Arabidopsis thaliana: one gene and its partner. The protein of the gene in region 1 interacts with the protein of each later gene in a pairwise test. Each region holds a gene or a part of one and is shown on either strand. Other genes may lie near its edges.

What was found.
Region 2: the proteins of ROH1 (region 1) and EXO70A1 interact in a two-hybrid assay, tested with the Arabidopsis thaliana proteins (one study listed by BioGRID).

What each region holds. Positions count from the first base shown.
Region 1 is NC_003070.9:23,725,855-23,730,101, reverse strand, and holds ROH1 (uncharacterized protein), read right to left. Parts: upstream 2,309-4,247; 5' UTR 2,176-2,308; coding exon 928-2,175; 3' UTR 699-927; downstream 1-698. Other genes in the region: MDAR6 (monodehydroascorbate reductase 6), read right to left, coding at 1-7. UniProt on the Arabidopsis thaliana protein: Required for seed coat mucilage deposition.
Region 2 is NC_003076.8:887,616-894,821, reverse strand, and holds EXO70A1 (exocyst subunit exo70 family protein A1), read right to left. Parts: upstream 5,257-7,206; 5' UTR 5,217-5,256; coding exon 5,058-5,216; intron 4,935-5,057; coding exon 4,839-4,934; exon of another isoform or gene 4,719-4,838; coding exon 4,513-4,718; intron 4,306-4,512; coding exon 4,228-4,305; intron 4,133-4,227; coding exon 3,902-4,132; intron 3,317-3,901; coding exon 3,178-3,316; intron 3,101-3,177; coding exon 2,888-3,100; intron 2,277-2,887; coding exon 2,071-2,276; intron 1,953-2,070; coding exon 1,752-1,952; intron 1,651-1,751; coding exon 1,551-1,650; intron 1,462-1,550; coding exon 1,361-1,461; intron 1,269-1,360; coding exon 1,122-1,268; intron 1,024-1,121; coding exon 906-1,023; 3' UTR 655-905; downstream 1-654. UniProt on the Arabidopsis thaliana protein: Component of the exocyst complex involved in the docking of exocytic vesicles with fusion sites on the plasma membrane during regulated or polarized secretion. Involved in polarized cell growth and organ morphogenesis.

The DNA of each region.
Region 1 (4,247 bases):
CAGACATTAGTTTATAAGAAGAGCCAAATTCAGATTTAATTATTGAAACAAGTGTGTGAGTCTCTCTGTAGTGTTGGCTCTATAACAAAGCTAAAGGGCAATGAGAGTAGTTTGAAATTTGTGAAAAGAGAGATGATTTATTGTAAAAGATGGGTAGTGAAGAATGGAGCTGACTTGTCTTGTTGCTTTTGATTCATTTGTCTTTTGACTCCGAATTTTAATATCTTTATTGACATTTAGGCTTTCAATAGAACTTGCAAGTTAATGGAACTAAACCATTAGCAGATTACACCATTCTATTTTTAGGATGGAAAACAATTCGTCGCGGACGAAGCTTATTTTTAAGTTAAAATGGTAGTTGGTCTGTGGGGATTTTTATTTTATTTTCCTAGGACAACAATCCCTAATGCATAATGTTTTACGATACCATTGTAAGGGAGCTAGAGTTAAGAGGATTTGATTGAAGTTAGTCACTCTAGCCATAATGATTTATGTTATGTCCTTCAAGCAGATTATTTCATGGATTACATAGAGGTTGTTATGCTCTTGTAGTTTAAGAGAGTTTGATGATTTAGATTTGATACAAAAAAATTGTCAACTTTTGCAGATAAAAGATGATTTTAACTTTTAAAATCCTCCATTTGCCTTCTTTGATCTCACATTCTCACTTGTGAAAGCTTCGGAGCCGTAACTAAAGGGTTCCTTCAAAAATTTAAATTGTTTTTGGATATTATGCATTAATTTAACAAAATGAAAAATGAAAAATATAAGGAGAAGGGAAAACATATGACATGGGCCTGTCCAGAGTTCTAAAAGCCCAACCATAAATAGAAAAACAACAATAGACGAAACCAAGAAAATAAAATATCCTATTAGCCCCCAAAGAATTACAAAACTTCGAAATTGATTCCCAATAATTCAAAACTTTTACACAACTGGCGCCGAAACTTTCCCGGCTTGCTCCAACACCTCGAGAATCTCCGCACGACTCCTCACGATCCTATGAAAAACTTCTCTGATCTGTTGCTGTAACGGCACAAGCTCCTCCTCCATTCTCCTGCATATCTCCGCCATCTCCGCCACTTGCACCGCCGCAGATTCAGCAGCATCTTTCTCCGCCGGATAATGAAATCCATCTGCGAATTCCATCAACGAGTGACCTAGCTTCTCCATCCTCGTCATCTCCTCCATCAATCCAGCAGATCCTTTCTTCTCTTTCTTCTTCCACTCATCTCCGATTTTCTCATGGATTCCGATCAAACTCTGAGCCCAATTCAAATGTTTCGGCGGCACTGGTAAATGATTCGCTAATCCTGATCTCTCCTGACACGGAACCGCCGCCGTTAGCACCCACATTACGAAAACCATCACCGTACTCATTATAAACATTGGTTGAGGCAATCCCGCCGCTTCGTTACCACGTGGCGGCGTAAGATTCGCTGTCATTGCGTGGATCTGCTTCGCCGCCGACCAATTTCTCCCAACCGCCCACGACGACGATTTGAGCTGACCAATCGTTGCTCCTCCTTTACTCGCCGCCGATGATCCACCGCTTCGACGACCAAACGACCACGATCTCTCCGTCGTCTTATTCCCTCCGCCGCCGCCACCACCTCCGCCGCTAACATTCTCTTTATCCTCGAGACTCAACGCGACGACGAGATTCGCCAACGCGCGTTTAGCTCTCCTCACGTTACCGTCACCTAACGGACGTTGCTCCAAAGCCGTCACAGCAATCTCAGCTAAACGCTGGTAATGTCTAACGGAATCGATACCGTTAACAACGGCGGTACAAATGTCAAGCGCTTTAATCGACCGGTCTAACATTTCAGGAACTAACCGGTCAAAAGGCGGCTTAGAAATCTGGGTCGGGTCACGACCCATTAACAAAATCGCTTTGAATTCAGCTTCGCAACAGAGGAAAACATCCATCAGCTTACGAAGCCAAGTCACGGACATAATCTGCTCCGTCGCGGCTACGGAAGCTACCGTGTTAATTTCATCTGACGGTGGTGGTTGAGGAGGAGAAAGAAGCTCGGTGAAACGATCGGCGATGTGTTTTTGGAAAAGCTCGAGATCTTCTTGTTCTTGTTCGTTGTTGACGTCGACGAATTGGTTGCGACGGATACTAATCCGGCCAAGGAACGAGCCTTGATTATCTTGCGCAGGTCTCATGATTTGTTTGAAGGAGAAAGAAGAAGAAGAAGAAGATTGGGAAGGTTTTGGAAATGGAGGATTTATATACGGAGACTAAATAAATTTGTGGTGCGCATGTCTTGTCGGAAAGCTTGAGACCCGTTCTTCGTGCGCAGTTATCTCCTTTTTTTGTTTCCAGTTTTGTCCTTGTAGAGGTTTCGTTATTACTATAGTAATATTATTACGTGAGTCATGACATTATACTCTTTTTTGGTAAATGAAAACTGTGATAATATGATTGGATTTCCAATTATTCTGATTTTTTTTGTTTTTTTTTGTCAAACTGTAAATATCATATTAATGAAAAGAGTTATACAACAAGTAAACCCAAGCTTTTGTTACCACGGCAAAAAAAAGAAGTAAAAAATACGTGGCAACAAATCGATTTAATGCAGAAACAAACTGCAGTCAACGAATCCATAAACGCATTAAGCTTTGGAAAAGATGACGATATTAAGCTTTGGAAAAGATGACGATGTCTTCTTGCTGTGATATCGTGTTTCTTATCAATCTATCAATCACAATGAATATCTGAGAAGATGGAATGGAGCGAAGATTGAAAAACCTATTGTTTCTCTCGCGCCAAACGTTGTAAACCAAAGTTTGTACAGAAACTTTCCGGAGAATAGAAGGAGAGCTGTCAGTCTTGCACCTAAGCCAAGTCAACAAGCCAGCCCAAGAGCCAAAGTTTGTAGGTGGTAGACCTAACCTCTGCTGAATAGCATGCCACAAATCCCTACTATACTCACAATGAAGAAAAATATGGTCTCTAGATTCATCAAAACCAGAGCATAGACAACAATCGATGGGGATCATTAAACCCCATGAAGCGAGACGAGTTCTTGTAGGCAAACGATCTAACTGTGCAGTCCACATTGTGAAAGCATGCTTGGGAGTTGCGCCTTTGAACCATATTGCTTTGTACCACTCTTTAATATCTTCTCTCGGCCTGATCGCTTCCCAAGTCCGCTTAGAAGAGAACCCTTTGCAATTTATCGCATCCACAATCCAGGAGTAAGAATCATCTATGGAGGAAAGACTTGGCAAACTAATGGTGGTCAAATGACTGTGGAATGACACCGCAGAATCAGACCTCGGGGAAACAAGAGTCCAGTCATGATGGTTGCAAGCATCGGCAACTCTTGCATTTAGGGGAATACGGCAGATTCTCGGCTCATCATCACCCAAAAACTTAATTAAGGGGCCAAGAGGCGTCCAATTATCGAGCCAAAAGCTAGCAGTCTTACCATTTCCCACACTGCATATGACAAACCTTTCTGCCAAAGATCGCAGCTTAAGTAAAGATTTCCAGTTCCAAGAGTCTGTCACATGCTCTTTAATAGCCCAAAAAGACGAGTTTCTAAGTTTGTTTCCGTAATATTTTTACCGAAAATATTTCAGATTCAGAATTTCCTTAAATAAAATGAAAAATGAATATTAACTTCAAGTTTATGGCATCGTTCGTGAAACATGCAAGAAGAAATATGATTGCCACCGTTTTCATATTTTATTTTAAAAAATTATGATTGTCACAGTTTTCATTTTTCACCATAAAAGAAGGGTAAAACTTAATCATGAATTCAGACAGAATATTGTTATAGCCCAAATTCTTTGTGTTAAAGAATATAGCCCAAGTTCTCTCCATCAATTTCTTCTCTGAGTCCACGAAGCCCATTTTAGATCACAAATTTCCACATGAATACTTCCTAACATAACATATACACTAAAAAGAACTAGAATAGTCATTTTTAGGGTCAATACTCTTGTTTAAGAACTAAGAAGCCGTATTTAATTGTTGAAAATCTAAGGGGCACTTACATAATTGTTGATTTTTTTAAAAAAATGGCTTCGAAATTATATGAACTAGAGTCGTCAATATTTTAAGTGTTCCAACTCAAATCACTAAATTATAAAAAACAATTCAATACTACATTCATAAAAATGTAATCTCATATCATTGGGATGTGATTTATAATTATTTATGAAGACCTATTTAATTGTTTAAAAGCTTTTTCAGTGAAGGCAAAATAGCTAGTACATCACTAACTAAT
Region 2 (7,206 bases), on another chromosome or scaffold:
GTTTCTTTAGGGGATGGCCATATTTTGTGTGTTTGGTGTTGTGCCAAAGAGAGTTTCAACAATGGATGTTGTTAGGGTTTTTATGGCTTCTCTCTTTGTCTTTGGTCATGGAGACAAATTATACAAGAGGTTGAATACACTCATTACATCGATTCAAATTATCATTTTTTTATATTATTTTGGGAAAAAAGTGGAAGGAGATGATGGAAATGGGGAAGTCCATGTAAAGATGTTGGGAGAATTTGGATCTTCTAAAAGGAATATGCCAATTACCAAACATGTGTGTTTTAAAACAACAAAACCATCTCATCACTCTTTATTTTACTAATAAATCATATTTCTTTCATTTAAGTATGCAAGTCGGTAGAGCTCTATCTGTCTTGTTCTGTTCAATAACAACTGATTAATCACCTAAAATCCATTAAGAAAATAACAGAATTGATCCGCATGACAATCTTGTCCCCAAGCTTAGTTCAGCTGTTCGGACAAATATTATTGGCTCGATCTTTAGTACCAAAGCTCGTCTCAAAGCAATTGTCAATCATATCAACTTATAACTTAGCTCCTTCACTGCATATTTTTTTTTATAAATTACGCCTAGGATTTTGATTTCCGATTAATTTCATTCTAAGAAAAAAGATTTCATATCCTTGTGAGTTGAGATTAGACTTATTAGGCCATGGTTATTTCAAAACGTTTAACGTATACAAAAGGAAACAACTCTGTCTCCAAGTAATTTACACATTCTCATTCCAACCAAAGAATAGTAGAATACAAAAAACGAAAAGTTGACACTGCATATACAATAGCAACGAACCTAGTTATGTAAGGTAAGCCAAAAAAAAGAAGAGTTTGATAGAAATTTACCTTACACAATTAGTTTTCATCATCTTTTAGTTGTTTTTTTACCGGCGTGGTTCATTCATAGACTTTCCTTCAAACAACTCACCCAACAATCTTTCAAGATCTTCAGCTGTATACTTTATGTATTTCTGAGGATTCTTCCCACTCTCAACCAAAGGCCTGCATCGATCATAGGTTAAAATCTCATTTAGGTTTTTTTACATTTCAATCAAATATTAGAAAAGCCTTCGCAGTAAAGAGAGAAAGGAGATTTTTACCCAAAGCGTTTGAGGAATGATCTATAAGCAGGCAATAATACTTCAGCAACAGCAAGTCTTAGTGACTCTCTTAACTCTGTGTCTGGAACTGTCCATTGCGATTGTCTCTGATGCAACTCATCAAACTGCATATTGAACATCTTGAACCTGTTCCATTTTTTTTTTACAGATTTATCATCATTACCAAATATATAAACATTTGCCAATTACTGTGTTTATTTTACATGTTTAGGACTTACCTCTCTTTTAATAATCCTCTTGAAACTCCACTGCTGTTTCCTCCCTCTAAACTTCCTCCCCCAGATGAGGTCAAACCTTGCGCCGATGAGCTTTGTAGTATCTACAAAATATGTAACAGTTTCTTAGTAACAATTTAATGAAATTTTATATAATAGTGTTTCTTTACAGAGTTAGACAAATAGACAGAACCTTTGTCCAGGCAACTCTTTTGTATTGGTTTGCATGTTGCTGCACGATACGCCTATGTCTTTGAACCCAATCATCGCCTAACAAATCCTTGGCTTCTGACCTGAAAAATTATCATATGAATAAAGCTAAATGAGTGCGTTCTTTTATTTTTTTAATAAAACCAGATCAGCCTTTAAAGTTTAAACGAGAAAAATAATATACCTGCGCACAGATCTGACCATGTAATGAATGTTGTTCATCAGGAACAAGTGTGTCAATGCAGGATCTTTGTACTGTTTCGATTTTCCGTCCAAGTTGTTTTGAAGCGCCTGCATTATCCGCATCGTTACGGATGCTAGCTGCGAATTTGAGTCATCTCCATTTCCAAATTCCAAGAAAAGTTGCTTCAATGTTGTTTGGTAGCTGACACCAATGATCATCAATTAAAGCGTGGAAAGGGACAATACGCAAATAGCAGTATGGAGAAGAACAATACGCAAATAGTTCGAGGAAATAAGTTGAGTATATATGATGTACTTACTCGAATAAAAACTTGACATAATTGATGACATAGCTTGTTAGTGGGTGGACAGTTCCATCTAGAACAGCAGTCTTTGTAGCATCTTTCTCAACAGCTTCTTCAAAATCACCAAATGTTTCCTGAGCAGTTTGCGCCAACCGCTTTGTCAAGCCCGTCGCAGAATCTCTAATTTCGAGGCATGCTTTCCCTTTGAAAATTGTCTCAATCTGTCCATGGACACAAATTTCATGAGATTGTACCATCTAATCTTATACCATAAACTGGTCATAAGAAAATTCACACTTTATGTCGTCCTAGATAGCAAACTTCCACTACATATGTATCACAAAGTTTTTTCTCTGTGTGCCATGCTGTTTATTATGGTGGGGATTTCAGTTGGTCAAAAACATATCTGATTGATAGAAACTCCACATGGGAAGAAAAACATTAAAGACAATCACTTTCCATATATTACTCCTCAAGTAAACAAAGCAGCTAGGTTTGACATCTCTAAGAAGTAAGTGGTGAACTCTATGCGTATGCAAACTGAAGTTTTACGTCTTAATATGGTAAATCGTTATGTGTGTCAGTGTCAATAAAACTAGACGTTTGCAGCATCCTATATTCTATAACATTTCACCTCACTAGCTTATACAAATGAATACAGGTTTGAAGGTGAATCAAGTATGTACCAAAGTTCATGATACTGAAAACTGACATTCTTAAAGATCAGAAAAAATCCACCAAAAGCTGAAACTAAAGAATAATTTTTCCATTTAACAGAAGACTCTTCAGTAAATGTATGGCGACTTAATGATATTAATGAGAAGATTATTACCTCTGTATGAAGCTCCCGCATTATCTCATACATGTCTAAGAGTACAAACAACTTTTCTGGAGATCTCTTGCTCCTGGCTATAGCATCCCCAAAGCTAAGTAGCATTGAGACACTGCTCACTGTAACTTCTGCAAAACACTGATCACTTAGAGAATCGAAGCCTCGGAATATCTGGTCACATACTTGTCTTTCTCCAGCAAAGAGTAATTTAACCTGTTGAACAAAATATCTTGAGTTAAAAGTGAACAAAACATGTTAAAGTTATTTCCATCCTTAACTAGAGTTCTTACAGCAATGCGCATGAAATGGATCCAATTTCCAATTTTGGCCTCCAAAACTTCCCACTGCATCCTCTGGACATCCTCTTTGCTAAGTTTTTCAACTCCCAATTTCTTTAAGCTTTCTTCCAAGACAAAGGAACGTGTGTCCCTGAACAAAACACAACAGGTTGAACAGAAGGAGATTAATAACAAATTCAAAAACACAAATGCATCTTAAATATGCATTGGGAAAATGCCAGTAGATTATGCAATTCGCTGCTTATATCTGACAATACTAGTAGTTCATATAGAAGAAAAAAGACAAAGCTTCTCCAATGCATTACACATATGAGACAAACAGAATTGCATCTAGCAATAATGTTTTCAGATCAGGTAAGCACAAACAGCGGAGTACACGATGTGCACATCACAGCCAAACTATTTGATGAGTGTCAATAGAAATTCATATTTCAAAAACATTTCTCTTTAGCTTTACTAGTGAAACAGCAGAAGGATAGTCAAATATAAACTCACAACTTGCAGAAACCATGGAAAAACTACTTTGTAAATGAGCGGTGACTGGTGAGAATTATATGTAAGTTAATTGTATACCCGCAATCGTTCAAAGAAACTATACCTTGACTCAGTACTTTGACTCATGCTACAATTATTAGTTGAAAATTTAAGCTAAGAGCCTGATTTGAAAATGAACTGTACGACATACAGGATGAATGACCAAGAATCAATAGTTCACCTATAAATTTGTAGCAACTGTTGTTGGTGACCAGCCTGAACCATTTGCTGTGCCAAGTCATGCAAAAGTGGCAACACCCGTGACGGAATGAGGATTGGAAGTGTATAAGCAGCAGTTTCCGCGTCATCATTGTGATGTCCTCCGTGGGGTTTTCCACCTCCATCCCCGTCTGAGGATGGTCTCAGTGAGTTGGGAAGGCCATCAAATAGGCGATCAGGCTCCACCGCTTTACTGATTATAACAAAAAAAAAGAGTTGGCCTTAGCATTCTTCCATCTAAAACCAGTTGTCTGGAACACTCGTATCATAGGAAACTTGTATATTGACAAGTGTTTGATTTCACAAAAAAAAATCTTTGTCAGGTGACAACTCCGATAATTTAGATAAAAGGTCATTCTAAGTATTCTAGGTTATTTGAAAGATAACTAAAGAAGTAAGACCATCATAGAGCGAAGACCAGTTCCCAAAAAAATACTAACTAGAAAAAGTAGCTAAAAATCCACAATAGCTTTGTTCCCTGAAGTTACAAGGTATGAGTCATAGTTATAGCAAGAGCATCAAGTTTGAAATCATGTAGCTTCTTAAACTCTTATCAGGCGCAGAAGCACAAACCTGTAAGAAGCTAGCAACTGCTTAAACTCTTCCTCCAGCTTTGACTGTGCTTTAGCAAGCAAACTATTTGCGTGGTTGAGAACTCCATCACTACTCTTAAAGCTTTTGTTGCTCATAAAATAACGAATAATCTTTCTGAGTTGAGCAATTGCATCCAGATAACTTTCCAGGTCCTCATGTGGCCCCTTGAGTACTTTAGTCTCTGCCTAGAATTGAATTGAGAGCATAATCAAAGACTATCTATTCTCAATGTAGATCATTATCAATTCTATCTATTTATACCGATCCATGTTAGTAAAATCAGAAGCAAGATTTGTAAAACAAACCTGACGGAGGAGATCGAATTGAGACAAAATAACTTCAGCAGCCTTAAGAGTCCTATCAATATTCTCATGAGCTTTCCTTATAGCATGAGTCCTAATCTGAGATTTCAAAACACAGTCAAACCAAAATCCGATCAAGTCAGCAAAACTCCATAGAGCTATAATACCAGATCTGGATTAGAAAACAATCAGAGAAGATGATCGGAGCACTCTAAACCACACCTGAGTAGGACGCATGGCGGTTTCAAGAGCAGACAGACGACTATCGAAGGAGCCGAGGATAGAAACAACATTATCGGTGATGGTTTGACTCTTTTGAAGAGATGCTCTCATCAACACAGCTCTTTCGCTTAGCAGATCCATTCTGCTATCAACAGCCATGGCGAATTCCAAAACTGGAGAAATACTTTTTCTCGTCGCCTTTCGAAAAATGGAAGTTGAAGAAAAAGAAAGAGAGACGACGAAGGATGACTCGGTTTGGTTTGGTGGGTGACAGAGGAATGCCGAGCCGGTTCAAAGCCAGCTAAGCTTTTTCTTTCCCCTTACTTAACCAGATTGTTGAACATTCTCTTAAAAATATTGACCTCTGTTTTAAATATTTTTATAACAGAATTATAGAAATAATTAAGGTTCAATAAAATTTTGTATTTCCATTAACCAATAATGTAATCGTAAATTAATATATGCAGACGCTAACCATAATAACACATATCGAATATTATATTCCAATAAAATTAAAGAAATAAGTACACTTCAATAAAAATTTGTCTTTCCATCAACCAGTAATGTAATTTTTCAATTTATTATAGTCAGATATGCTAACCATAATGTAATCCTCTCATAATTTTTCTTTACAAACTCGAAGTTTTTGGTGTTATATCGTTCGTTAAATGTCGACAACATTTATAAGCATTGAGCAGTGTTGACATATCATGGCCCACAAAATAAAAGGCTATTGTCCAAATACGAAATAGCCCATTAAATACGGCTACAAATTTGTTTTTACACAAAAGTCACAGTACTGTAGATCTATCTCTAAGAATATTATCCATTAACGACCAAATTTGTCTCAGAAAATAAATGGCTCAACAACAAACTAAATATCAACATTTTCTCAAGAGACATATTATAACTAAAAAGAAATGAACAAAACACTTGACATTAGTGTGTTGAAAACTAAAAAAAAAAGAAGAAGAAGAAGACTTATGAGGATTGTTAGACGAAGATGTAGCCTCTAGAGGATCTTTATTTTGTACTCAACTTGGCACCTTGGTGTGTCAATTTCGACACAACAGTTCTATCCTCCAATAAATTGAAATCACACCGAACATTCACACACACAAACATACACACACTTTATTCTCAATTTATTACGATGGTTTAAATGTTTACTAGAGAGCAGAAAAATATTTTAAATTCAAAAAGAGAAGAACAATAAAAAAAGGTTAGGCGAGCAAAAGGAAGATGATATTCCTAAGATACCTTTTCTTTTCATGGCTTTTCCGTCACTCATTCTGTTCCCAAAACCATGGACAACATTCTCATATTTTTGGATATTTAGAGAGAAAATTAGTTCCATATTTATTCATCTGCCGTTGATAACTTTTAGTTTATAGAAACATAAACCTTCTTGAAATATGTTTTACCATAAGAGGCATATTAAATAAATAAATAAAAAAAAATGACGACAAAAAAAAAAATCATACTGTATATAAAAAAAGAAAGTGTTTTGTGAGAAAAGAAGAGAAAATCAAAGTGCTTTGACTCTTAGTGACGTCTTAATCGGAGCGTGGAAAGCACGTTCTCAGAATGCGCGCGTAAACTTTTGCACAGGCCAGGGGTGGGGTTTCGCAGGGGCTTGGCTGACAGCAGACGAAGGCCAAACATGGCTCCCATAATTCATTTAACCATCACTGTTCGCCGACTCTTCTAGAAAAAAAAAAAAGTAGTTTTCAACCTTCTTACAAAATAATTAGTTCCATTGGTGACTAAAATTTAGTCATTGTAAGTTTTTTTTTTCCTTATTTCAATTTATATTGTAGAGAATACAATATAGCCTAAAGCAATGAGAAATGATGTTAATGACTAAAAAAATATGTATAGTAAGCTAGTGACATATCATAAATTGTTTTATAGATATAAAAAACAAAATTCATGAAAGTATAGACACATTAAAATTTAAAAATAATAATGAATTCCAACCACTTTTTCTAAGCGGTTCAATGAATCGTCTAATTTTTTAGACTGTTTAAATTAGTCTGTCCAAAAATAATGCTCATTCCCTTTTTACAATCGCTAATTTAAAACGCTTTAACAAACTAACTGACAAAATCAAATCGTTTCAATTGGTAGCCCACGAAAACGGTTAGTC